3 linked regions of the Tamandua tetradactyla genome follow. The protein of the gene in region 1 interacts with the protein of each later gene in a pairwise test. Links are inferred from orthologs where the notes say so. Each region holds a gene or a part of one and is shown in the gene's direction. Other genes may lie near its edges.

Region 1 (8,196 bases):
ACTCTTCTACATTTACTAGCTAGCATTCTTCTGGAAAGAAGAGGCATTCTTTTTCTTTAAGTATCACTGTGGAATCATGGATTTCTTTTCTTTTTTTTTTTATTTAATGTATCATAATCCGTTATCACTATTCTTTTATGGTGATCACTTCAAGTCATATGGAGCCACTTCAAGTCAGTTTCTGTGTCCTCTGCACATAGCTTTCATTACTCTCAATCATATAAAATTTGAGGAGAAACAAATCCAGAAAACTAAATCCCAGGCATCCTAATCATGATCCAAGTAATCTTTCTAGGTTTTGGGGTACCATCTTCTTTGGGGTTCAACTTTTTCTTTTTTTGTCCCCAGTTTCTCATACTCATTTTATAGTGCTCTGGTTTCCATTATGTGTTTTTTCCACTCAGCCAGACTCCAACTTTTTACTGTTTGATTCCCTTCCTCTGTAGTTTTTCTTTCTTTCAGAAAACATTCCTGTGTCTTTTTCCCCTTTGCCAACCTTTCCCTTTTCTGCTTTCTTCAGCCTTCTCCTTCCCAAGCCATTCCTTTCATTTCCGTTTTCTAATTCCCCTGCTATTTCCTCTGAATATCCCATTTGTATTAATTTGCTAAAGCTGTTGGAATGCAATATACCAGAAATGAATGGAATGGCTTTTAAAATGGGAATTTATTAAGTTGCAAGTTTACAGTTCTAAGGCCATGAGATTATGCAAACTAAGGCATCCAGAGAAAGATACCGATACTCCAAAGAAAGGCCAATGTCTGCTGGTCCTTGTTCCTGATTCTATTGCTTCTAGCTTCTGATATCAGTGGTTTCCTCTCTAAGCATCTGTGGGCCTTCACTTAGCTCCTCTGGGAAATAGCTCTGGGTTTTGGCTTGTGTAATATCTCATGGGAAGGCACATGGTGATGTCTGCTGGGCTCTGCCCATGTCTAGGCATCTGCTCTCCAAGTTGGTACTCCATGTATCTCCAAACATCCGTGTTTCTGTCCGCTCTGAAGCAACTCTTCTCCAAGGGTCTACATCTGAAGTGTCTCTAAAATGTTTCCCCTTTTAAAGGACTCTAGTAAACTAATCAAGGCTCACTTTGAATGGGTAGAGTCACATCTCCATCTAATCAAAAGATCACACCCACAAATTGCATAGGTCATCCTCCTTGGAAAGAATCTAATCAAAGGTTTCCACCCTAAACAATAGGTCTGGCCTCACAAGATTGGATCAGGATTAAACTGGCTTTTCTGGGATATATAATAGTTTAAAACCAGCAACACCTTTGAGTCCTAATTTTTTCACCACCAGAGTTCCCCTCTGTCAATTTTCAATCATAGACTCATTGAAAAAATTATATATACCAGATTGCATTTATTTTTCCCAAGCAAAGCCATTTGTAATTGTTGATTTGAGCTTTATTCAGTATGAGATAACAAATGCCCCCACACTGAGAAATGTAATTAAAGCCAAAGCTAGGAAACCTGATACTTTAGTTAGGCCTCTTAACATTACTGGGGAATTACAATTCAGGTTCCTGTATTTGAGACATTGAGATTAGCTCACACCAGTGTTCATGTCGGCCTACCTACGCCTACACCGTTGGGCTTGCAACCACGGGCCCAGCCTCTTTTGTCACTTTCCAGTTGGATTGTCAGGCTCCTCCAGTTTTTTCATGCCCACAACTCTCAAAAGCCTCTGTTGCCAGGGCTTTCCACTGCAATGACCAGAGTTTGTATTCGGTTTATAGGATAGTAACTGTAGGTGACTGGAAAATATTTTATTTGCCTCAGCAATTTCTCCTGAGATTGTCCTTCCTCTGAAGACTTCGCTATATCCTAAAGAGACATATGTTTTCCTAATGTAGGGTTTTTCTTATCCCCTGCCTTCCTGTTCATATCATTAATTTTTATCTTCCCATCTTAGAACTAGGATTTCCTGACTGTAATGGTCTGTGAACTTCTAAGTGCATTTCATTGTCATTAGACAAAATTCAGTAAATACTGATGAGCAAAAAATTCTAATAGCTAACATTTTGGGGGCTTTTACTGTGGGTTAAAACTGACAGTTCTGAGAGGTTGGGTTTGTGTTATCCTTATTTTGCAGGCAAGTAAAACAGACTCAAGGTTAAATCACTGGCTTAGGGTCATTAAACCAGAGGTGAAACTTCATTATATATCCTTTAGGGCATTTTCTGTTTACAAATATATATATATATATATATATACACACACACACACACATAAATGGTATCATATTGTATATCGACCCTTTTGTCCCCACGTACCATGTCCATCTTTCTATGTCAATAAATACACTTCAACAGCATTCTTTTTAATCCAGTGTCCTTCTGTTTCCTCTTCTCCCGGCCCTGTCCCAGGATCGACGAGAACGTGCTGGGAGCCCAGCTGGATGTTGATGCTGCCCACTCAGAGATCCTCAAGTACTTCCAGTCAGTCACCTCCAACCGGTGGCTCATGGTCAAAATCTTCCTCATCCTCATTGTCTTCTTCATCATCTTTGTGGTCTTCCTTGCCTGAATCCTCTCCACTCTGAGGCACTCCATGGGGGGTTGAAGCCCACCTGGGGGGGCAGGTGGCCATTGCTGCCACTGAGCCTGTACAGGGTGCTTGGAAGAAAGGCCCTGTTTCCCTGGAACTGCTAAGAATGGCCACTGCCCCTTGATCCTCCAACCATGTTTTGCCTCTGGCTATCCTGCCTCTCCCCTAACACCCCCAGACCCACAAACCACACAGGGTTCTGGTTTTGGACTCTGTTGTGAAGTGGCTGGAAGGGAGCAGAGGCTAGCTGGGGGCCAGTGGGGAGGCTGCCTCCACTAGGAAATTTTTATAAACCCCCCACAGCCTCTCTGAAAAGAAACTGGGAGCAAGGGGAAGTGATGACCTTCCCTGCCTTCTGAGAGTGAGGAGAGGAAGAGAAACTGCCCCAGGGACCAACTTTCCCATCTGGGTTAGAACTTGACCTGTTTATTTTTCCTCTCTTCACTAAGTGAGGCAGAGGGCCCTGAGCCCTTTGGCTGCCTGCACAACCCCCCCAACATTGGCTGCTAGTGACTCTCAGAATGCCAAATGCACTGCAGCCTGTTTTCTTCCAATTACAGAAAGACTGTCAGCCTCACTAGCCATGTCGTCATTTCTGGGTGGGAGCGTCGAAGGGCCTACCTAGGCAGTGAGTGGGCTGAGCCCACTGCCCAGTAACGGAACTGAAAGGGATCAGCTAATGGTTCAGAGGGGCCCCACAGCTGACCTTTGCAGCCTTTGGCGTCTGTACCACACAGCTGCCTCCAGCCATGTGATTACAAAGTGCGGTAGCACCTAATTTGAATGGAAACTTCATATCAAAGGAGGAGGGGATTCCCTGATTGGTGGTAACTTCCAGGACTGCCTTGAGCAGCAGTATTTGGACCGGTTTCATCTTAATCCTTTAACCTGTTGGCCCCAATTCAGAGCTCTGTCCGCTGCCAGGAGCGGAAGGTGAATTTGTTCCTGCGGCGGCTGAATCTCTTAGTTCCCATTAAAGTCTTCACCAAATCCAAACTAGTCACAGGAGAATGGAGAGAGACCTGCCCAGAATACCCCCTCTACTAGGAGCTTAATGTGCTTCTTTATCTTTCTTGACCAGGACCCACAACCACACCATTCTGAGATCACTTGAGTGAGTGCCCTGGTTCACACAAAACTCAAGCCGTAGAGACTGCAGTTGGCCATACTCAGCCTGTCCTAGTTCTTTTGGGGGTCTAGGGAAGTCCATGGTTTTTCCACCCCCGGCATTTACAGATTTCCTCTTGTCTTGGCTTCTCTTCCATCGCTTGTACCTCCACCATATACTCAGTCCACATGTGATGTGGGCCTGGCACAGTACACCAGTAGCGATTGGGTTGGTTTGTGAAGAGGAATGTCGCCGAAGCCTGTTATAAATGCAGTCCCATTTAATTGGGCAACTCTCGGAGCATGGTTAAAACAAGTTATTTCACAAGTATTTGTTGTTACTTGGTGCCATGCATGGTACTGGGCCCGGCGCTGGAGAAAAAAGCCATGGAGTTCACATTCTAGAGTTTGATTTCGTGCTTATTAATCCAGTTTACAGAATGGGAAAGAGCCCCAAGGTCAGCAGCCGATAAAGAGCTGAGCCGAGACTTTTAAACACTAGCTGAATTCGGCGAGGTGTCGGTAAGCGATCACTCGCTCCGAGGTCCGGGACTCCCATTCCTCAGTATCCTTTCGGGCCGCCCCTCGTCCGCCTTCCTCTCGGATTTCTGGACTGGAGCACCCCGAGTGCCATTGTTCTGCTCTTTGCTCCGGCACTAACTCTGGAAGTCTGCAGACGGATGAAAGGAGGTGGTGGTGGTAGGCTGGCAGCAAATCCTGGGCTTGGAAAGCTCAGTCGAGCGAGGCGTGGGAGGGACAAGACCCGACTCCTAAGCGTCCGCCTTCTGAAGTGCGCACGCGCAGGCAGGCCCCGCCCCGCCCCGCCCCCAGAGGCTCCGCCCACAACGCCGTGACGTCAGTAGCGCGAGACGTACTTCGCCGAATAAATGCTGTGGCGCCCGGCGTAGAAGCGCTTCGGCCCTTAGCTACTGGTTCAGTTTGGACGTTTGGCGGCTTCCTGGGCAGCGCTTCAGCCTGTCCCTGCCTCTCTCTGTACCATGGCGGACGAAGGGAAGTCGTACAGTGGTAAGTGCTGGCTTTCGGTGGCGAAGCGGAGCGATTTGGTGCCCGGGTGGGCGGCGCCGGCCTAGGCCGCAGCCCCAGGTGATGAGGCCGCTCGCGACCCGAAGTCCGCGGGGAGCGGCGGCGTGGGGCGGGTGGGGCGGGCCGCCGGGGACCAGGCAGCCCGGAAGGGGATCTCGGCCGAACTCGAGGATGGACCCCGGGGTACGCGACTCCGGAGTCCTGGTGTTGTGAGGACCTGCGGCTCGAAGCAAAGTAGTTCAGGGATGGGGTGACGAGAATCCTTTAAACTTTGTGGGTGATTGATGCTGGTCAGTTCAGTTTGGCGACCAGACTCTTTTAATGTGAGTGACTCAGTGCTCGCTCTTGGGCTGTCCTGGTACCCTATCTCCTACCGCGACTAAATGAGGACCTGCGGCTCTCATTTAGTATTTTAGCTTTTTTACACACCGTCTCAATGTTCTAGTCCGCCTGAGTTTTAGTTCAGTGTTGTGGTCAGGGTCTCTAGGCAGCCGAGGTTTGCATCCTCGTTCGACTAGGTCAAGCTTTAGTGAGTTACTTAAATTCTCAGACCTCATTTTCCACCTCTTTAATGAGGGTAGAAGCAACAGCTACCTTCAAAGGTGTGTGTGTGTGTGTGAGAGAGAGAGTATGTGTGTGTTTAAATGAGATCATTTCTATCAAGGGCCTGAAACATAGCACCTGGCAAGGGAGAAAGCTCTCAGTAAATGTTAGCTGCTGTTATCTTTTTTTTTTTTTTCCTAGAGTCCTTTTTGAGGCTCAGTGTCGGCATTAGGCAGACATGTTTAGGCGTCACAGGACTTTTTTAAAGAAACTCCTGTCCACCTAGATTTAAAGAGGGTCATATTCCTGGAGAACATTCCTGGACCCTTGGTTACTAGAGCCTGAGTCTAGGAGTTGTGTCCTGTGTTAAAAGGCATCTCAGGCAGAGGAAAAGGAGCACTCAGGAAATATGAGTAGCAGTATAATAGCAGGGAGATGTTTTAGGTTGGGCAGATTTTGAGTGACATCTGTAACGCACAGGCAGGAGAAATGTAGGTTACTGAGTGCTGATGTAATCATTGTGATTGATTCGTTTTAGGATGTGTCAGAGAATTTGCCTTCCAAAATTTGGGTGGGATTGAGTCGATTTGATAGATTGAGAGAGAACAGTTTGGGTGACTCTCTCAGTCTATCAAATCTTCATTTTTCAGAAACGCTGTGCAGTTTTCCAAGAATTTTTCTGATGTTTCCATCTCGTAGAGAGGGTTCTTTCTTCTGGACAGGCAGAGGAATTTGGGTGGAGGTGGCTTCTGTTGTTAGTATGTGTCTCCTCCAATAGTGCAGGATAATAGCTCCTGTAATTGCTGATGATGTATTTTCTAACTTGTGTTCCTGTTTCCAACTCTAGAGCATGATGACCGTGTTAATTTCCCTCAAAGAAGAAAGAAAGGCCGGGGTCCTTTCCGGTGGAAGTGTGGTGAAGGGAATCGTCGGTCTGGACGAGGTGGTTCTGGTGTTCGATCTTCCCGCATTGAGGAAGATGATGGAGATGTACCAATGAGTGATGCCCAAGATGGTCCCCGAGTACGATAGTAAGTGGCCAGTTGATCTGGTTTGAATTTAGTGACACACTAGATGATGCAGCCCTGCAACTGCCCATGTTATTTCTCTTTCCCACTTGGAAGACTGATAAATACTAGATCAGCTTAATGGATGAATAGTTTTAGTTACATCTCTGACAGCAGTGTAGGAAAGTCTTTGAGAAGGCTTAAAGTTGCAAATATGGACTTTTTTTCTCTCTGCTTCCCCCAGCACCCCGTATGCTGCCCGACCCAACCGTCGGGGTGATAATTGGCGTGATCGAGACCGTATCCATGTTACTGTACGGAGAGACAGGGCTTCTTCGGATAGAGGAACGGCTGGCACCAGCCAGGATGGGACCTTGAAGAACTGGTTCAAGATTACAGTGAGTACTTTTGGGAAAGTAGATGGTGCGGCTGAGACTGGGGGCTGGGCCCACGGAGAATGTGTTTAACTCCAGAGAATCAGTCTTTCTGGCTGTGACCTCCACAGTTTGATGCCTGTCCTTTTTGCTGAGGATCAGTATCTTTGAACACCTAAGAGTGGGTTGAAAGAAGGGATAGAAGAGGACAGGGAGGATGGGGGAGGCCCTCAAAAGGTAAGCATGGTAACTGTGGTCAGGAGTTGGAGTAACTCCTCTGGATGTCTCCTTTTGGCTCAGGCCCAGTGTGGAGTTGACCAGGTGTGGGAGTTGGAGTTCCTGGAGTTCTGTGAGGGGTAGGCAATGTATAAATAATATCTTGATACTTTTTTATAACCCAGATTTTTTATCCTTTGGAGAAATAATAATTTTAACTGGACAGAAAGAAGATTAAGGAGTCCATGTATGGCTCAGATAGAAAAACATATGGCTGGTCCTTTCTTTAGAAAATCTTTTAAAGCTTGGCAGAAGGTCTGAAAGGAACCTTCAAGTCTGCTTTTCAGCCTTAGTTGCATATTGTTCCTTTTCTTTCTCTTTCTCTTATTTCTAGATTCCTTACGGCAGAAAATATGACAAGTCATGGCTATTGAACTTGATTCAGAGCAAGTGCCGTGTCCCTTTCACACCCATCGAGGTAAGACAAGGCCTGAGTGGCAGGCTGCCTGGGCATCAGGGAGGGTGGAGGGGGCAAGATAGACAAGTGTTTCTGGGCTCCAGATCTAATCCTGTTATTTCTCTTCTTGCAGTTTCACTATGAGAACAGTCGGGCCCAGTTTTTTGTTGAGGATGCCAGCACTGCTTCTGCATTGAAGGCTGTGAACTATAAGATTTTGGATCGGGAAAATCGACGGGTACATGTGTCAAGGGCCTGGCTTGGTTAGGGGTGGGGATTGGGGTGGCAGGCAGGGACTGGGTATTGGCATTGGTATTTAGGCTCCCCTGGAGTTTACACTCTGCCTTTCATGTCTTCTCTGCAGATATGTATCATCATTAACCCCTCTGCTCCACCCCTTATTGTGCAGAATGAACTGAAACCAGAACAAGTAGAGCAGCTAAAGGTGAGACAGGAGCAGTACTGCTTGTTTTCATCCCTGTCCAGCCATTTCTTGCCCAGCCTGCCTCTCTCCCCACACAACGTCGGTGACCTGTGAACCCTTTTTCTTCCTCTGTAGCTGATCATGAGCAAACGATACGATGGCTCCCAACAAGCGCTTGACCTCAAAGGCCTCCGTTCAGATCCAGGTATGGATGATTGCACAAGTAGAGGCGAAGGGGGAATCCGTCAGGAAGGGAATGTTAAGAGAATGATTTGGTGCTGTATCTGGCCTGGGCAGACCCTCTCAGACTTTCGCTTCCTTCCTTTCTGCTTTCTGAAGATTTGGTGGCCCAGAACATTGATGTGGTGCTGAGTCGTAGAAATTCTATGGTGGCTGCCCTGAGAATCATCGAAGAGAACATTCCTGAGGTGAGGCTCTTGGCCCAGTATTGAGGCTCTGGAAGCACAATGGAATAGA
Region 2 (8,277 bases), on another chromosome or scaffold:
TTGTGCTAGGAGCTGAAAGCACAGAAAACAGGGCATGGTCCTTTCATTCAGGGAGTCAAGGATGGACCTGTCCCTTGTTTGCAAGCCAGAACCTTCAGTCTTGGCCTCAGTGAATGAGAGGGGCCTAGGCTTTCTCCTCTGGGTCACCCACATACCCAGCCATTGGTTTGGCCCCCACAGGGCACCTCATCACCATGTGGGGTCCCACTGGGAGTCTTTCAGACCCCTTCTCATCTGTCCCTAAGTTCCCCCAGGGATTTTTTCCTTTTGACTCTTGGCTAGATTTAGGGGTCCTGGTCCTCAGCCAGAATCTGCTCTTGGCTGCCTTCCCCTCCTTCATGGTTCTTTTGTGAAGAGGGACCAGGAAGGAACAGGAGCTGGAAGGGACCAGAAGCACCCCCTGGGGGCCTGGAAGCTTTTCCAGCTCATCCCAAGGACTCCTCTTGGCTCACCCCTAGCCCTTTCATGCCCCTTTCCCTGGCTCTTCCTGTCCATTTAGAGGACCACTGGATTGGAAATAATAGGCCGCCCACCAGCCCTCTCCTCCCACCAGGACAACATGTGCTCCCTGCCTCTCACCCGCCCTGAGGGATTCAGGCAGGAAGACCTCAGAGGGGAGAGGGGAGCAGAGCAGATAGGGAAAAGCAATTACAAAGTGATCTCAGGTTAGAGGTTTGAGACAGGGAGGTGGGGGGTAGCAGTGGCAGTGGGGGTGGGCTGTCTGGAGCAGATGCTGGCTATGGTGGGAAGGAGGGAGAGAAAGGGCCCAAGCTTATTAACCCTGGCACAGGAGTCTGGCCCCCTGGGGTCTGTGAAGGTGCGTGAGCTGATGCCTTCCCTGTGCTCCAAGATGGCAGGGAAGAGGAAGAAGAAGGAATCGGGAGGGGGGTGCAGCCAGAGTGGTTGTGATCACAGGAGTCATACCCCTCTAACCAGAGAGGCTGCTGGACTCAGGCTGAGCATGGGGAGGACCAGTCTCTGCTCTGAGGCAGCGCCCCCTCCCACTAAAGAGGGAGACAATCCTTGCCCTCCAGCAGGTCCAAAACTGACAGCTGGCCATGGGTTCTCCCTGCCAAGTGAGGAGGTATGAATCCTCTCTTGTGGGAGCCTTAGTTTGAGGCGAGGAGAGAGACTCTATCACCTTAGGGAGACACCAGTCTGACGGGGAAGACAGATGCTAGCATGAGAAAGCTCCCATCCAAGGAGGAGAACAGGTCCCCTCACTGGGAAGCCTCAAGTTGAAATGCAGATGGGATCCATAGCCACAGGAGGTAGGAGTACACCAAGAGCTTCTCAAACGGGATGGAGTGGTGCCCCTGGCACAGGGTAGCTGTCGTTAAGTGGAAGCCATGACTCATCAAGCACCTGCTATGTGTGGTTCTCACTGATTTTATACTCACAACCACCTCATAAGTAGATATGGTGAGTGCCCATTTTGCAGATAGGGATTTGGAGACTCAGAAGGTTCCTGAAGTCGCCCAAGATCACACAGCTAATTTATGGCCAAGGCCTTGCTCTCTCCCCTAGAGGACACTGCCATAGAAATCGGAGGCAAGTCTAGGGAATCAAAGGGGTGCTCTCTCTGGGAGATGCAAATTTGGGTTTTAGAACACCTGCCTAAAGCTAGAAACTGGCTTTCTCTGTGACTCTAAATTGGCTGTCCAGTGGCCGCTAGGACCTGGGCAGCTGAGCACTGCCATCTAGCGGCCACCAGGGCTCGGTTCCCACACTCAGCTGTAGGATGGACTGGGCCATCAGGAACCAGAGGGATTTTTGTTCTCATCCCACTCACTTTTCTTTTGTTCTCAACTCCTCTACTTTTCTTATATCCACCTCCAGGCTTTTTTGTCCACACAGTAATTAAGCCAAATAGTGCTACATGGGCTACCCGTGTATTGCTCCTGCCACATGAAGCTGCTGTGCCCTGGAATATGAAGGGAGCATGACTCTTGATTTGCTCCCAGATAGTGGGAAGAAAAATTAGGAGACCTCAATTCTAGACGTAGGTCTGCCCCTAAGAAAGGGGCAGCAGCATGATCAGAGGCAGCCAGGTGGCAAGCAGCAAAATGGCCAGTTGAATTAGAGGCTAGCATCTTTGGAAAATACTGGGTACCTTGTATGCATGTTCAGCTTGATGTTGAGTTGGTCTGACTGGGGAGGCATCTAGGCTTTGCCTGTGACCGGAGGGCATCGTGGCAGATTCTGATGCACGGAGAGACTCAAGGAGTGGGAGGCCCTCTTATACCCACCTCGGCTCAGGAGTGGGGTGCAGCTTGGCAGAAGGCCATGTAGAGGGATACAGGCAATCTCTCTCTCTGGCTGGCAGCGTCCTGCTGCCCAGAGGTCAGTCTAGGGATGGGCCTGAGGCTTCACATGTTGGGCCACCAGGTTAGGGAAGCAGGAGGAGAGAGGTGCCATCTAGAATGGGGACTGAGCCACACCATAATTAGGCCTTGGGGTGGAGGCCAGAAGGGCTGCGAGCCTGCCCGTGTCTGTGGGCTGCGTCTGCCTGAGGGCAGGAAAACATCACAGCGTGGTGATTTAGAACAGAGAGAAAGAGAACATAACTGTCCAACAATAGAGCTCAGTTAAATAAATGCATACAGTAGAAAACCATGTAGCTGTGAAAATGATGATGTGGATAAATATTTATCGATATGGAAAGATGTTCATAACATATTGAGCGAAAAAAAACAAATTACAAAACCATTTGTACAGCATAAGCCCACTTTTTAAAAAATGCATTTATATGTGAAGAAAATCTGGTAGTGTTTATCTCCAGGTGGCAAAATTACAGCTAATTAAAAAAATATTTTTGCTTATCTTTATTTTCTAATTTTTCTACAATAAATATGTAATACAAAACAATGCAAGTTTGGAAAACAATCTCTACCAAATCCGTCTGCCCCTTTGCTTCTCTGTATGAACACCGTTAGCTAGTCAAGGGTTGAGAGTGGGGATGGGTCTGAGTGCTAGATGGGAGGTTGGGAATGGGGGCAGGGAGAGCCAGGGCCTGGGACAGCGGCCCAGCTGGAAGGGGTGAGGCTGGGGGACCCCTTCTGCTGGTTCTGAAATGAACCTCTGTCTCATATACAGAAGCACAATTCATCAGCTTTTCTGACAAGCCCTTCCTACTTTTGTTACATCTTTCATTTCCAGGATTGCTTTGCACTCATTCGGATTTTACTTGGACAAAAAGGGGAGACCACATGCTGTGATTTGCTAGTCAATCTGAGGGGGCCACAACTAGCTCAGAGATGATGGTTAGAACCCGGGCTTGTCCCCTGTCTTGTTCTTCAAGTCCCTATTGGTCCCCAGCTCACCAACCCACGACAGGATGAATGGTCACTGGGTGCCCCCTCCCCATATTACTGCTCAGGACCCAGGATCAGATGTGACCAGAGAATAAGGAAGGGACTCTCAGGCCTTCAGTTTGTGCTGGAACTCACAGGGGCGACATCAGCTGGCAGCTCATGACATGCCCAAATGAAGAGCATGTCCCCTGGCATGGGGCAGGGGATATTACCCTGAGAGGGGCTCAGGGTCCTGCGCTGGCTCTAAGAGCTGGGGAGAGGGTGGGCAGCATGGCCTTGTCTGCAAAGCTGGAGACCTGGCATGCTGGACCACTCTCCAGGGCCTTCCCCTGGTGCCCACTGAATGACTCACCTTGGCACAGAAACAATAGTCAGGGTGGGCACAGAGCCTGCTTCCCACTGCACCCCAGCCCCCCTCAGATGCCTTCCGAGAAACCCATTGAGCAGGGGACTTGGGCTACCCCCCGGCCTGACAGCCTGGCATCTCAGGATAAAAGCAACTCAGGCCCCCGGGAGCTGCCCTTCCCGCACGGCGCCCTCACCGGTGGCGGAGAACAAGGCTCCTTTCAGCAAGAGCCCCAGAAAAGGGATCAGCAGCTCAGGGCATGGGCAGGGGTGGCAGGGGGTGGGAGGGAGGAGGGCCGCCTGCTTCCCAGAAGTCCAAGGACATAGATTGGTGAGGGTCCTGGGCAGGGCTCTGACCCTTAAGAACCAAGGTAGACAGCTGTAGACCGACCCGAAGGCTCAAGGGGCAATCAGGCCTGGGGTCCGGGCTCCCAGTCTGCACTCAGTGGCTCCTGGGTTCCCAAACTCACCCATCCCCAGAGGCCTTTCCCATCAGCCCAGCCTGAAGTGTGGGAACTCAAAGAAGATATATTTCCAGGGGGTGTGTGAGGGGGTGACCAGGGCGACAGGGAGTCGCAGGAACAAAGATGCAAGCTGGAACAGCCAGCTCATTCGTAACTGCTTTGTGGAGCTGTCAAGGCCTGAGCTCTGGGGAGGGGGCAAGGAGGCCAGGCAGGGGGAGGGGTGAGCCCAGTGGGAATAAGGTAGGGGCTTAGGGGGGCCCAAGGAGAGGGGCCAGAGAGTATAGTACCTGACCCCCTCGACCCAATCAATTGGGACCTTCAAAGGTCCCTACTGTCACTGGCCTCGGCTAGACAGAAAGGCCTCAGATAGCCCACCAAGAAAACGGAGGCTGGTGTCCAAACCTGGGCCCCAATCCCAGAACTCCAAGGAGAGACAAGAAAGCAGGAATGTAGGATGGCTGTATTCAGAGGGCAGGATGTACAGGAATCTGTTGGAATGGGGCTCAGTAGGAAACTGTAGCAGGCTGTCACTTGAGGGTATAGAACAGGTTTGTTTTTTGCTAATTTCCCAGCATGGAGCAGGCAGGCAGTGAAGGAGTGCTGAGGGAGGGACTGCCTATGACAATGGTTATGGAATCTGAGATGGAAGATAGGTCAGAGGTCACCTGGCTCAGCCCTCTTTGACCCACTTTTCTGGAAAGGGGGTCTCCTGGTCCAGTGGTCAGGGTTCCAGACCCAGATAGGGTTGGCATGCCCGGGAAGCCCTGCCTCTGGGCACAGTGACCTCAGTGGGGTGAGAGGAGCTCTCCCCATGGCTGGGCTGCGGCCCAACCCCACCCCCTCAGGCTATGCCAGGGGGGCGTTGCCAGGGGCACCCTGGGCAGTGGCAGGCCAGCCCACTCCTCCATAAAGCTTTCACATCCCAGCAGCAGGCAGAGCCAGGCCAGGATGGAGAGGCGACGCATCACCTCTGCTGCTCGCCGCTCCTATGTCTCCTCCTTGGAGATGGTGGGGGGCGGCCTGAGTCCCAGCCGCCGCCTGGGGCCTGGCGCCCGCCTCTCCCTGGCTCGAATGCCCCCTCCACTCCCGGCCCGGGTGGACTTCTCCCTGGCCGGGGCACTCAATGCCGGCTTCAAGGAGACACGGGCCAGTGAGCGGGCAGAGATGATGGAACTCAATGACCGCTTTGCCAGCTACATCGAGAAGGTGCGCTTTCTGGAGCAGCAGAACAAGGCGCTGGCAGCCGAGCTGAACCAGCTGCGGGCCAAGGAGCCCACCAAGCTGGCTGACGTCTACCAGGCCGAGCTGCGCGAGCTGCGACTGCGCCTCGACCAGCTCACGGCCAACAGTGCACGGCTCGAGGTCGAGAGGGACAATCTGGCACAGGACCTGAGCACCCTGAGGCAGAAGTGAGGAGGGGGACTGTGGAGGGGCCTGTGGGGTCTCGTCAGGGGCTCTGCTTCTCTGCTTCCCACGTTTCCCCACTGCTGGGAGGGAAGGGCTCTTGTGCTCCCCAAGATGACGGGAGGGGGCAGGAGGAGGACTAGAGCCTCAAGGATCTGAGTCCCAGGGACAGCAACTCCCACTGGGGAAAGCTGGGCCGGGGACCATGGGGGACCCAGTGGGCAGGTTCTTTGCATTTCATCCACTGCTGGGCCTTGAGATCCTGGCAGGGAAATGCACCTACCTGAGCCTGAGGATTAGAAGGCAAGAAGGCGGAAAAATAGAGCAGGCAAGCCTGGGTTCAGAACACACTCTGCCTGTTCTCAGCTCGTGACCCTAGCAAGTCACCTTGACTTGCACTGCTGTGAAGCAGCGATCATAATAAAATCCATCACAAGCGGCAGTTGCTTGGGACGTGGAGCTTTGCTGAGCTGGCAGGGCAAGTGTGTTACCTGCAAGTGCAGGGGGAAGTGTGTGAGTTTGTACCTGCAGCAGCAAGTACTCACTGGTGGGAGTTCAGTAATGGACTTCATTACTTAAGGGACTTCAGTAATGAGTTAGGGCCAAAGTTCTCATCTGCTCACCCTCCCACCCTCCCAGCCATTCCCATGATCCAGGACCCCTTGACCCCTACTCCTCCTGCCACCCTACCAGTTCTGGGGGTCTCTGAGGCAGGGAGAGCACGGTAGGGATTTGAGAGTCCTCAGAAGACCCTAGATCCAGGAATGTGTCATACACACCCCTCCCCACTCCAGGCTCCAGGATGAAACCAACCTGAGGGTGGAGGCTGAGAACAATCTGGCCGCCTATCGACAGGTCAGGGAGGTAGAGGGGAAGGTTGGGGGGTGGGGAGGGAGGGTTGGAGGCAGCCCACCTAAACCAAGCCCCCCAAACCCAGCCCTTCAGATCAATGAACTCCTGCTGCCCCAGAAGAAGAAGTAAGACAAGCCTGGGGAAGGGAGAAGAGGAGTTTGAGGTCAGAGTGGTCCTTTGTCCCCTCCCCATTCCAGGAGGCAGATGAAGCCACCCTAGCCCGTCTGGATCTGGAGAGGAAGATTGAGTCTCTGGAAGAGGAGATCAGGTTCCTGAGGAAGGTCCACGAGGAGGTAAGGCTGAAGCAGAGGGAGGAGAGCCCAAGTCAGAGACTGAAGCTGAGAAAAAGACAGAGATGGAGGATGAGAGATTGAGACAGAGAGATACTCAGAGACAGAGGAAGAAAGAGAGGCAGAAAGTGAGAGACAGAGGGAGAAACAGATACAGAGAAAAATGTGCGGTAGAGGGGGATAGAGACAGACAGGAGAGCATTCCGGACCCCCGTTAAAAGGCACACACATGTGAATCAAACACTCCACTTACTGGATTCAAATAGGCCTCATGGCCTCATTTTTTTCTTCATAACAGCCCTGTGAGGTAGGAACTGTTCCAGTATTATCCCCTTTTCACAGAGGACACTGAGACCCAGAGAAGTTAAGGAACTTGCTACGGTCACACAGTTAGTCTCTCCAACTCCATCCCTTCTGTCACCTGCCTCCCTTCAAGTGAGGGCCATTTATTAAAAAAAAAAAAAAAAAGTCCCACTGTGTTCTGAACTCAGAGCACGGATTCAGAATCTATGACCCTGTGGAACCTGGGAACCTCTGGGTACCCACCCACAGAATGCAGGCACATCTCAGGACCGGGCTCCTACCCATCCAGCCCTGGCAGAGGACACCTTGAGGCCCCAAACTACCCCCTGCCTTCCTTAGCCTGGGCCATGCCTCTACCTCCAGCTAGGGATGCCCCCCTTCTCAGCCAATGCCTGAGTAAAAGCAGGTACGATGCTGTACGATACCCTGGCCAAAGCCCGAATCCTGAGCCCTGGGACCCCTTCTCTCACCCTGACCAGGAGGTGCGGGAGCTCCAGGAACAGCTGGCCCGGCAGCAAGTCCATGTGGAGCTGGATGTGGCCAAGCCAGACCTCACGGCAGCCCTGAGAGAGATCCGCACACAGTACGAGGCAGTGGCATCCAGCAACATGCAGGAGGCAGAGGAGTGGTACCGGTCCAAGGTAGCCCTGACTGTGGGACAGCTTGCCTCCTCCAGACAGTCCTCCTTTCTCCATACTGGAGAACTAGGAACGGAGGGTAGAAGAAGGTGGAAGGGGCTCCTCTCTGGGTGACTGACTTCCAGAGAAATGAGATGACTCCGAGAGTCTTACAGGCACTACTACGTCCAACAAGTACTTATTATTATTACTACTATTATTACTACTAGTTGTAGTAGTAGTAGTTTAGTGGTAGTCAACATTGTTGTGTTCCAGGCTCTGGATGGATTAATTTTGCTATGAAATAGGCACTGTTCTTTGATAAATAGAGAAATGAGGTCCAGAGAAGTTAGTAATTTGCCCAAAGTCACACAACTCCTTAACGGTGGAGTTGGCTTTTCAACCCTAGCCCATCTCACTCCAGAGCTTGCTTTCTTGATCCCTCTGCCAGGCTGTGTCTTGAATTACTGAACACCTACGTGCACCAGGCCCTGTCCGGGACACAGAGTGGTGGCTGACTGGGGGGAGAGGATGTGTACCCAAACGAGCACCTGCGTCCATTCCCCTGGGGCAATGGGGTCCACAGAGAACACTACAGGGCAGGGTTAATCTGCAATTTGGGAACCAGGAAAGACATAAAAGGGGCCATTTGGGCTGGGCAGGACAGTCAGCCGTGGACATGCAGGGA
Region 3 (7,927 bases), on another chromosome or scaffold:
AGCGTCTTCCATTATTTTCTGCTGGTGTTTGGGCATTTGATCAGATTTCCCTGGGTGTGGGACCCGGCTGGTTGAAAGGTTTTTCTGCGAAATCTCTGGGCTCTGTTTTTCTTTTCCTGTCCAGTAGGTGGCGCTCGTGGCGCTCGTCTGTCTGCACAGCAGTCGGCCTGGGAAACCGCGCGTGGAGGGGGGGTCGCTGGCCGCCGCGGCTTGGGAGAGTGCCGGTCCAAATTGCCCAGCTGGCCCGAGATGCCAAGCGTGACGGGAGGGCCCCGCTATCCAACGTTCCCAGTCAGACCGGGGAGCCACGTGCGTGGAGGGGACCCCAGTCGCCAGCCGCCCCAGCCGGGAAAACGCGCGCCCCTCGGGTATCTCACTGCCGCGGATTCTCCCTGCCCGTTCAGCCGTTCCAGAATGGGGTACACTGTCTTTTTGGTCTCTGTCGTGACTCCAGGAGCTGTTTCGTATTGTTTCTGTTTCTTTAGTTGCTTTTCTGGAGGAGGAACTAAGACCCGCGCGTCTTACTAAGCCGCCATCTTCTCCGGAAGTCAAACAGAATGGCTTTTAAAAAGGGAATTTATTAAGTTGCAAGTTTACAGTTCTAGGGCCATGAAAATGTCCAAATTAAGGTACCAACAAGAGTTCACTTTCACTCAGTCAAAGCTGATGCCCTCTGGAATGCCTCTATCAGCTGGGAAGACGTGAGGAAGTCTGCTAGCTTTCTCTTCTGGTTTCTTGTTTCATAAGGATTCCTTAGGGGTCTTTTCCTTTTGCGTTTCCAAGGGTCTTTTGCTGTGTGGACTCCAAAACCTTCTCCATAATGGTTCCTTCTTAGAGGGCTCCAGTAAGCAACCCTACCTTGAATGGGTGGAGACACATCTCCATGGAAACCACCTAATCAAAACGTCCCATCCAGAAATATTTGAAAAGGATTTAAAAACATGGCTTTTCTGGTGTACACAACAGTTTCAAAATAGCACAGAGGGTTTTCATTTACCCCCATCTTTTAAAAGAAAGTTTCATTGAGGTTTAATTTTCATACCTTACAATTCACCTGTCTTAAGTGTTTAATTCAATGATTTTTAGTATGTTTACAGACTTGTGTAACCATCATCACAGGGAGTTTTAAATATTGAGCAAATCACTGAAAAAGTGCATTTGTGATTTCAACCCCTGCAGTAATTAATTTTCAAAATTTTGCAGTCTCTGAAGTAATCATTTCCAGGAGAACGTATGGTGCCAACACTAGTATAGAGTTACTGGATTGAACTGAAAACATTTTGTAAGTTTCTTTTTCAGGAAGCAACTTTTCATAAAGAGCAAGTGTTGAAAATAAGATTGCTTCTGAGAAAAGAGCTAGTAAAATCCATATCAGTTGGTTGTGGGCTCAATCCATAAGACTTCCTGTGAAAGTGTACTGAGTTTAGAAACACCTCGAAACCCAATAAAGGTGAGGATGTAATCTCAGAAGTCAAAACTGGAAGTGGCTGTAATTTGACCCGCAAAAACCTAATCAATTGTCTAGTGCACTGTTTAGAGAACGTTAATGTCAAGATCAGCCTACAGAAAGAATTGTCAATCTTTACCTAGTACTTTCCAGGAAACAGAAAACATCAAATCCGGCGAATATGAATATTCCTTTCTTTAAAGAGGTGTACTTTGTGTACTTTGTTTTTGGGCAGGGATCATTTATCAGGTCTCACCATGATCTGAATGAAACATCCCTCAAAATGATTCACCTCACTTTGTTCTGAGTCCTCATTTAGTAAGAAACAGTCTGCTTTGCTTTCCAGACATTCCAAAACAGTTGTCTTGGCATGTACATTTGAGCCACCTCATCACCAAAACTGAATCTGTCCCTACCTCCAGTAAATGAATAAATAGTTTCGTTTATTTGCCCTCTTGTCTATTAGTGGAATGAAATTTGTTAATCTATTCTGGGACACTGCTGACATTAAGATCCCATTCTTAGATTGTAATAATCACCAAATTAATGTCATTCTGGGAGACCTTGATAAATAGCCATCCAGATTTTCCTTGTCATACCCTAATCCCTTTGATTCCAGAACCTACAATTTGAATATTTTCAAATATAAAAAGGGGTAGCAGAGTTTGTGTCTCAGCTTCCTGGCTAAGATCAAGTGTAAAAAGGCCAGTAGATAAACAAGAAGGTCCTATTCACTCTTCTTAAGTTCTGTTTTGTATTTCTCTGAACTGAACAGAATCAGAAATATTTGCATTGAATTAGACAGACACGAATAAATCAAAACAAATAGTTTTCTTATTTTTCTGAATGAGAGTGTCTTAAAATTAAAAGCACCTATGTTTAGAACACTTCAGTTATCACTGACATAACACAACGTTAATCAACAGATGACTGAGTATTTCTTAAATTGATGGGTAAAAACTGGAAACGAAGACAAAATGTGATCAGTAATTAACTGTTGAAGGAATGAAAAATATATGACCAAAATTAAAACAACAATTCTTATCCATGGTACTGTGCCAGAAATTGAATAAATTTGTTGAAATAGTGTCCTTTTTGGTCTGATTCTTCTCACTAAAAAAAAAAAATCAGGTTCTTTTTTTTATTAAAAGCTCAGTTTCAAAATATATCATTGAAGGACGGCCTGAAAAGGTAATCTATCCTTTCTTTAAAAATTTCAAGTGTTCTTTTTCCTTTTGGAATTTTTAAGAATATGATTAAAATTTCAAAATTTCTCTCCAAAAAAAGTACACACACACATACACATAATTTTGGAAACCATTACAGAGAATTCAAGGACTACCAAAGGTCCTATAGATCTGTTGAGGATCTACAGACCAAAAGTAAGCATTCCTACTCAAGACGTTTCAAACTGAATTTGTATTTTGGGATCACTGAGAGATATGTGTAAAACACATTGCCAGCTTTTAGAACTAAGAAAACATGCCCTTCTCCTGAACAACCAATTTACTTTTTAATCTCAAGAGCACTTTGAATTTTGAAAATACAGGTGTTTCCTTCTTTAATGTGGCTTCTGGGAAGACCAGAGTCAAATTTGAAATCCATCTCTTAGAACTCAGCAGGCTCTTACTGCAGGCATTTTATCTACTAACGTTATCTGAGACGTCATCTTAATTTCTTCCTTATTTTCCCATTCTCCTTATTTATTCATTCAGTTATAATACTGTCTAATTCTATCTCTGTAAGCCTCATCACATCGTTGGGGAGAAGTACAAATAAGTAAACATAATGAAGAAAATCATCATTAAACTCAGGGTGCAGATGTTTTAGCAAATCTGACTGCAGGGTTTTCATAAAATTTGAATTTATTACTAACATTTAAAAATCCTAACATTTCACATAAAAATCTGGGAAAACGTAAAGAGCCAACACTCAAGCAGGATGACAATTCTGAGAAGCAACTGTGCCTTACGGTTAGTCATAGTTCTCACACATTCATTTTGCTAATTTATATTACCTGAGAAGCCAATAATTCAAAACTGTTGTACATAAATATTAGGGGGAACGCTTCAAAAAGGGATTACCTTCGGGATTTTGCAAACTCCCTAAAAATACTTTTTCTTTTTCGTCCTCTGAAATGTGGAAAAACGACAGGCACAATTCATTCTCCAAGCTTTCACTGAGCCTTTCCTCTACCCGAAGCCCAGCAAAGACACAATGAGTGGAGCAGAGGAGGTCTTGGTCTTGGAGGCGGTACGATGTTGTTTACCCCACCGGTTATCAGGTTCCACTTATGATTGTTTAGGATCGCCCTAACACAAAGCGTGTTGAATTGAGCCGTGCAAAAGTTAAGCCCTGAACCGAAGGTGGAACAGTACTTTTTTGCAGAATATTTACTAAGGAATCTAAACTGGCCCTAGGTCTTTTCACAGGTGAAAGGGCGGGAACGCAAGGCCACGCCTTGACTCTCTACTAAATCACCAGTAACACAGCTCCCGCACAGGGTCCACTCTCGGAAGATGCCCTAGTTTCGGGAGCAACCAACTGGTCCCACCCCCTCGACCCCGCCCCCGAAATTCTTTCCCGCCAAAGACCGTTAACACCGCAAAGCATGGTGGGACAAAAGGCTCTAGGCTGTTTCACCAAATCCTTTTAAGGCGCCGATTTGCCTTAAAAGAGGCCCATTCCTGGGGAAACTGACTGTCTTTCAAGGCCCGACAGGCACGAATAGCCCCTTTATCGAAGTCCCGGATTTAATTTTTATAAAAGGCTGGTCACCCCCTTGGCAAACCGCACTGCACAGCGAGAACGCGGGGAACTTTTTTCCCCTTCGTGCGGAGGGTCACGTCGAGCGTGCGTGTGCGTACTTCTCAACGCGCTCGTTACGTTTTGCGCGTGCGTATTGAGAGCGAATCACTACTTCCTCTCGTTTCTCTTCCTCCCTCCGTCGATATCCGTGCGCCCAGCAGATAAAGGCGCCATTTTGGAGGGGCCGCGGGAGACGTGGTGTCGCTGCGGGTTCGCTCTGTTGTGCGCTAGGCTTGGTGGGAAGGCCTGTTCTCCAGTTCGCGCTTTCCGTAGCCGCCATGTCAGGAGGTGGTGTGATTCGTGGTCCGGCAGGGAACAACGATTGCCGCATCTACGTGGGTAACTTACCTCCAGACATCCGAACCAAGGACATTGAGGACGTGTTCTACAAATACGGCGCTATTCGCGACATCGATCTCAAGAATCGCCGCGGGGGACCGCCCTTCGCTTTTGTTGAGTTCGAGGACCCGCGGTGAGGCGGCATGGGGCTTGCGGCTTTGAAGAAATAGGTTGGAGTAGTTGGGGAGGCTGTGAGGCCTTAACATGGAGAATGGGGGGGTGGGGCAGTACTCTTGGAGAGGTTGGGGGCGAGGCAATATCGCCCACGCTGGAGTTGAGTAAGGAGGCAAGTTGGTTTGGCTTCTGTGGTGGCCTGGCCCCATGGACATCCCTTGAGCCGACTTGCATGTTCCGAGCGGGAAACTGAGGAGCTCTGGGCTGTCGTATCGTCTGGAGGCTGGCATGCTTCTGGGTGGGGGAGGGGCCATTTCTATTATGCAGCGCGTGTGGGCTCTTCCACACTCGGTGCGCATGTGCGGGTTTTGATGGTGTACTAGCTCTTGACCGAGTTAAGACTTCCTTTGCCGGACCCTTTTCTTATCTCTTTGCTTTCTGTGGTCACGCAGAGACGCGGAAGACGCGGTGTATGGTCGTGACGGCTATGATTACGATGGATATCGTCTGCGGGTGGAGTTTCCTCGAAGCGGCCGTGGTACAGGCCGAGGTGGCGGTGGGGGTGGAGGTGGCGGAGCTCCCCGAGGGCGCTATGGCCCCCCATCCAGGCGGTCTGAAAACAGAGTGGTTGTCTCTGGTGAGTTATTGCTGTTATGGGTTGATGAGAGGGAACAAACTACTGTAAAATTGTTCTTGTATGCTTGACTTGATAATTGGAAGTTTTCATGCTAGGTCTTAAGTTTTGTTCTTATTGGGTGAATTTTAACGAACAAGGATCGCTGTAATGAAAATGTAACCAAGTAAGATTGCAGTACTAGAATATGAAGATCCTTATTTCGCAAATAGTTTTGGACTCTGGATTCCAGAATCTTGCTTGGAATCATTTAGGTACAATCATTATTTTGACATAATCTTTGTTCTAATGTACATTACACATTTAAGGTGATATTTGAGATACTTGGTATTGAAAAAAAAATCACTTTTCAGGACTGCCTCCAAGTGGAAGCTGGCAGGATTTGAAGGATCACATGCGTGAAGCAGGTGATGTATGTTATGCTGATGTTTACCGAGATGGCACTGGTGTCGTGGAGTTTGTACGGAAAGAAGATATGACCTATGCAGTTCGAAAACTGGATAACACTAAGTTTAGATCTCATGAGGTAGGTTATACACTTATTCTTTTCTTTGGCCAGAATTGGATACAGTGGTCTTAACAGTGGAATTTGAAGGTAAGGATTCAGGCAAGGGTGTCCAAGTAAAGTGCCAGATCATTTCTGGTTTTAGTTTCATTGATTCATTCAGCATGCCTGAAGTCAGGTGAAAGCTTAGATCTTTCAATCGAAAGTTCTGTCTATCCACTAGGGAGAAACTGCCTACATCCGGGTTAAAGTTGATGGGCCCAGAAGTCCAAGTTATGGAAGATCTCGATCTCGAAGCCGTAGTCGTAGCAGAAGCCGTAGCAGAAGCAACAGCAGGAGTCGCAGTTATTCCCCAAGGAGAAGCAGAGGATCACCACGCTATTCTCCCCGTCATAGCAGATCTCGCTCTCGTACATAAAATGATTGGTGACACTTTTTGTAGAACCCATGTTGTATACAGTTTTCCTTTACTCAGTACAATCTATTCATTTTTTAAAATTCAAACTGTTTTGTTCAGAATGGGCTAAAAGTGTTGAATTGCATTGTTGTGTAATATCCCCTTGCTCCTAACATCTACATTCCCCTCATGTCTTTGATAAAAATTGTATTTTAAGTGATGTCATAGACAGGATTCTTTAAATTTAGTTAACTCTCCATGCTCTTCAGACTGTGATAATGTGTAAATGTCTATTCTGCTCTGGTTTGTGTGAACTGGGATGTTGGGGGTGTTTGTGGTTATCTTACCTGGGGAAGTTCTTATGTTTATCTTGCCTTTTCATGTGTCTTTCTGTAGACATATCTGAAGAGATGGATTAAGAATGCTTTGGATTAAGGATTGTGGAGCACATTTCAATCATTTTAGGATTGTCAAAAGGAGGATTGAGGAGGATCAGATCAATAATGGAGGCAATGGTATGACTCCAAGTGCTATTGTCACAGATGAAATTGGCAGTATTGACCTTATACTAAAAGGCAAGGGTTAAAAAGTAAATCGACCTTAAAAGACATGCAAACATCTTATGCAGTTATGTGTAGCTACAATTGCTTTGCTTTTTAAACCTTGGCAATTGTGGCAAAATTACATTGCCCATTTTGTAACAATTTATTTTGCTCCCTTCCCTCTTTTTTTGTTTTAATAGGGACTAATGTGGGAAGAACTGGCTAATTTTGTCACAGTGCTTAGTTACAACTGTTAATGTGTGACCTGCTGTTGGTGTACATGTGGGTACAGGGTGTCTTTTAATTCCAACCAGATAGAGTATAATATCAATACTGCTAAATCTGCATGTCCTCTGTGTGACTGATATAGCGTTGCTATTTCATTTTTTTAAGACAAAATGAAAACAAAATACAGAATTTCAACATATTGGTGTAGATAATTTAGTTGGGAATACGTTAAGTCTCACCTTCCCCTTTAATATTCATGATTGACTCATGCCTAAAACACTTAATTTACAAATTAAATTGCAGATGGGAACGTTAGCTTTAGTTTAGACTTAGGTGGGTACCAATACCAGTAAACTTTTCAACTACATAACTTTTTGCAACCACAAAACCTGTAATACGCTGTACAGTAACAAATGTTGGCATTATCAGTTGAACTGTAAATATAAAATGCTTCTTCCAATTAGTCTCTATGATGATTAAGTTTCTAAAATTTATCTGAACACCATTCAGAAACTTGTTTTGGGGAATTTGATAGTTATTGATGTACATCTGTTAATACTGATGACAGACATAACTCATCATTCCCCAGAAACTTTTTTTTGATTACAGTATCTAACATTTTGCCTCCTCTTTTTTGGTTTTGCTGGTTATAAAGGTTTGGATTGGAGAGGGCTCACTGGATCCCAATCCTTGGAGCTGGATCATTGGATTCAAATCATAATGTGGATAGGATAGGGAGGATGAATTACAAGGATTCATGGAGCGGGATCAGATTACCAGGAACATAGGAGTGGATTCCTGCCCCAACCAAACCGCATTCGTGTGGATTTTTTTTTTTCAACTTAATTGGCTATTCCAAAGATTTTTTTTTTTTCCTATTTTTGACGATTGGAGCCCTTAAGATGCACGATGG

What was found.
Region 2: the proteins of NXF1 (region 1) and GFAP interact in a two-hybrid assay, tested with the Homo sapiens proteins (3 studies listed by BioGRID and IntAct). The two-hybrid records come from large-scale screens. The link is inferred for Tamandua tetradactyla from reciprocal best matches to the Homo sapiens genes NXF1 and GFAP.
Region 3: the proteins of NXF1 (region 1) and SRSF1 interact in binary tests that used the Homo sapiens proteins (3 or more experiments, as listed by UniProt). The link is inferred for Tamandua tetradactyla from reciprocal best matches to the Homo sapiens genes NXF1 and SRSF1.

The regions. Positions count from the first base shown.
Region 1 is NC_135335.1:11,787,330-11,795,525, forward strand, and holds the start of NXF1 (nuclear RNA export factor 1), read left to right. Parts: upstream 1-4,507; 5' UTR 4,508-4,652; coding exon 4,653-4,680; intron 4,681-4,837; exon of another isoform or gene 4,838-5,021; intron 5,022-6,088; coding exon 6,089-6,272; intron 6,273-6,492; coding exon 6,493-6,646; intron 6,647-7,232; coding exon 7,233-7,316; intron 7,317-7,428; coding exon 7,429-7,533; intron 7,534-7,659; coding exon 7,660-7,740; intron 7,741-7,854; coding exon 7,855-7,924; intron 7,925-8,058; coding exon 8,059-8,147; intron 8,148-8,196. Other genes in the region: STX5 (syntaxin-5), read left to right, coding at 2,367-2,526.
Region 2 is NC_135332.1:22,511,642-22,519,918, forward strand, and holds the start of GFAP (glial fibrillary acidic protein), read left to right. Parts: upstream 1-4,769; 5' UTR 4,770-5,071; coding exon 5,072-5,532; intron 5,533-6,321; coding exon 6,322-6,382; intron 6,383-6,576; coding exon 6,577-6,672; intron 6,673-7,451; coding exon 7,452-7,613; intron 7,614-8,277.
Region 3 is NC_135332.1:38,935,693-38,943,619, reverse strand, and holds the start of SRSF1 (serine/arginine-rich splicing factor 1), read left to right. Parts: upstream 1-4,387; 5' UTR 4,388-4,533; coding exon 4,534-4,727; intron 4,728-5,160; coding exon 5,161-5,345; intron 5,346-5,695; coding exon 5,696-5,868; intron 5,869-6,070; coding exon 6,071-6,265; 3' UTR 6,266-7,927. UniProt on the Homo sapiens protein: Plays a role in preventing exon skipping, ensuring the accuracy of splicing and regulating alternative splicing.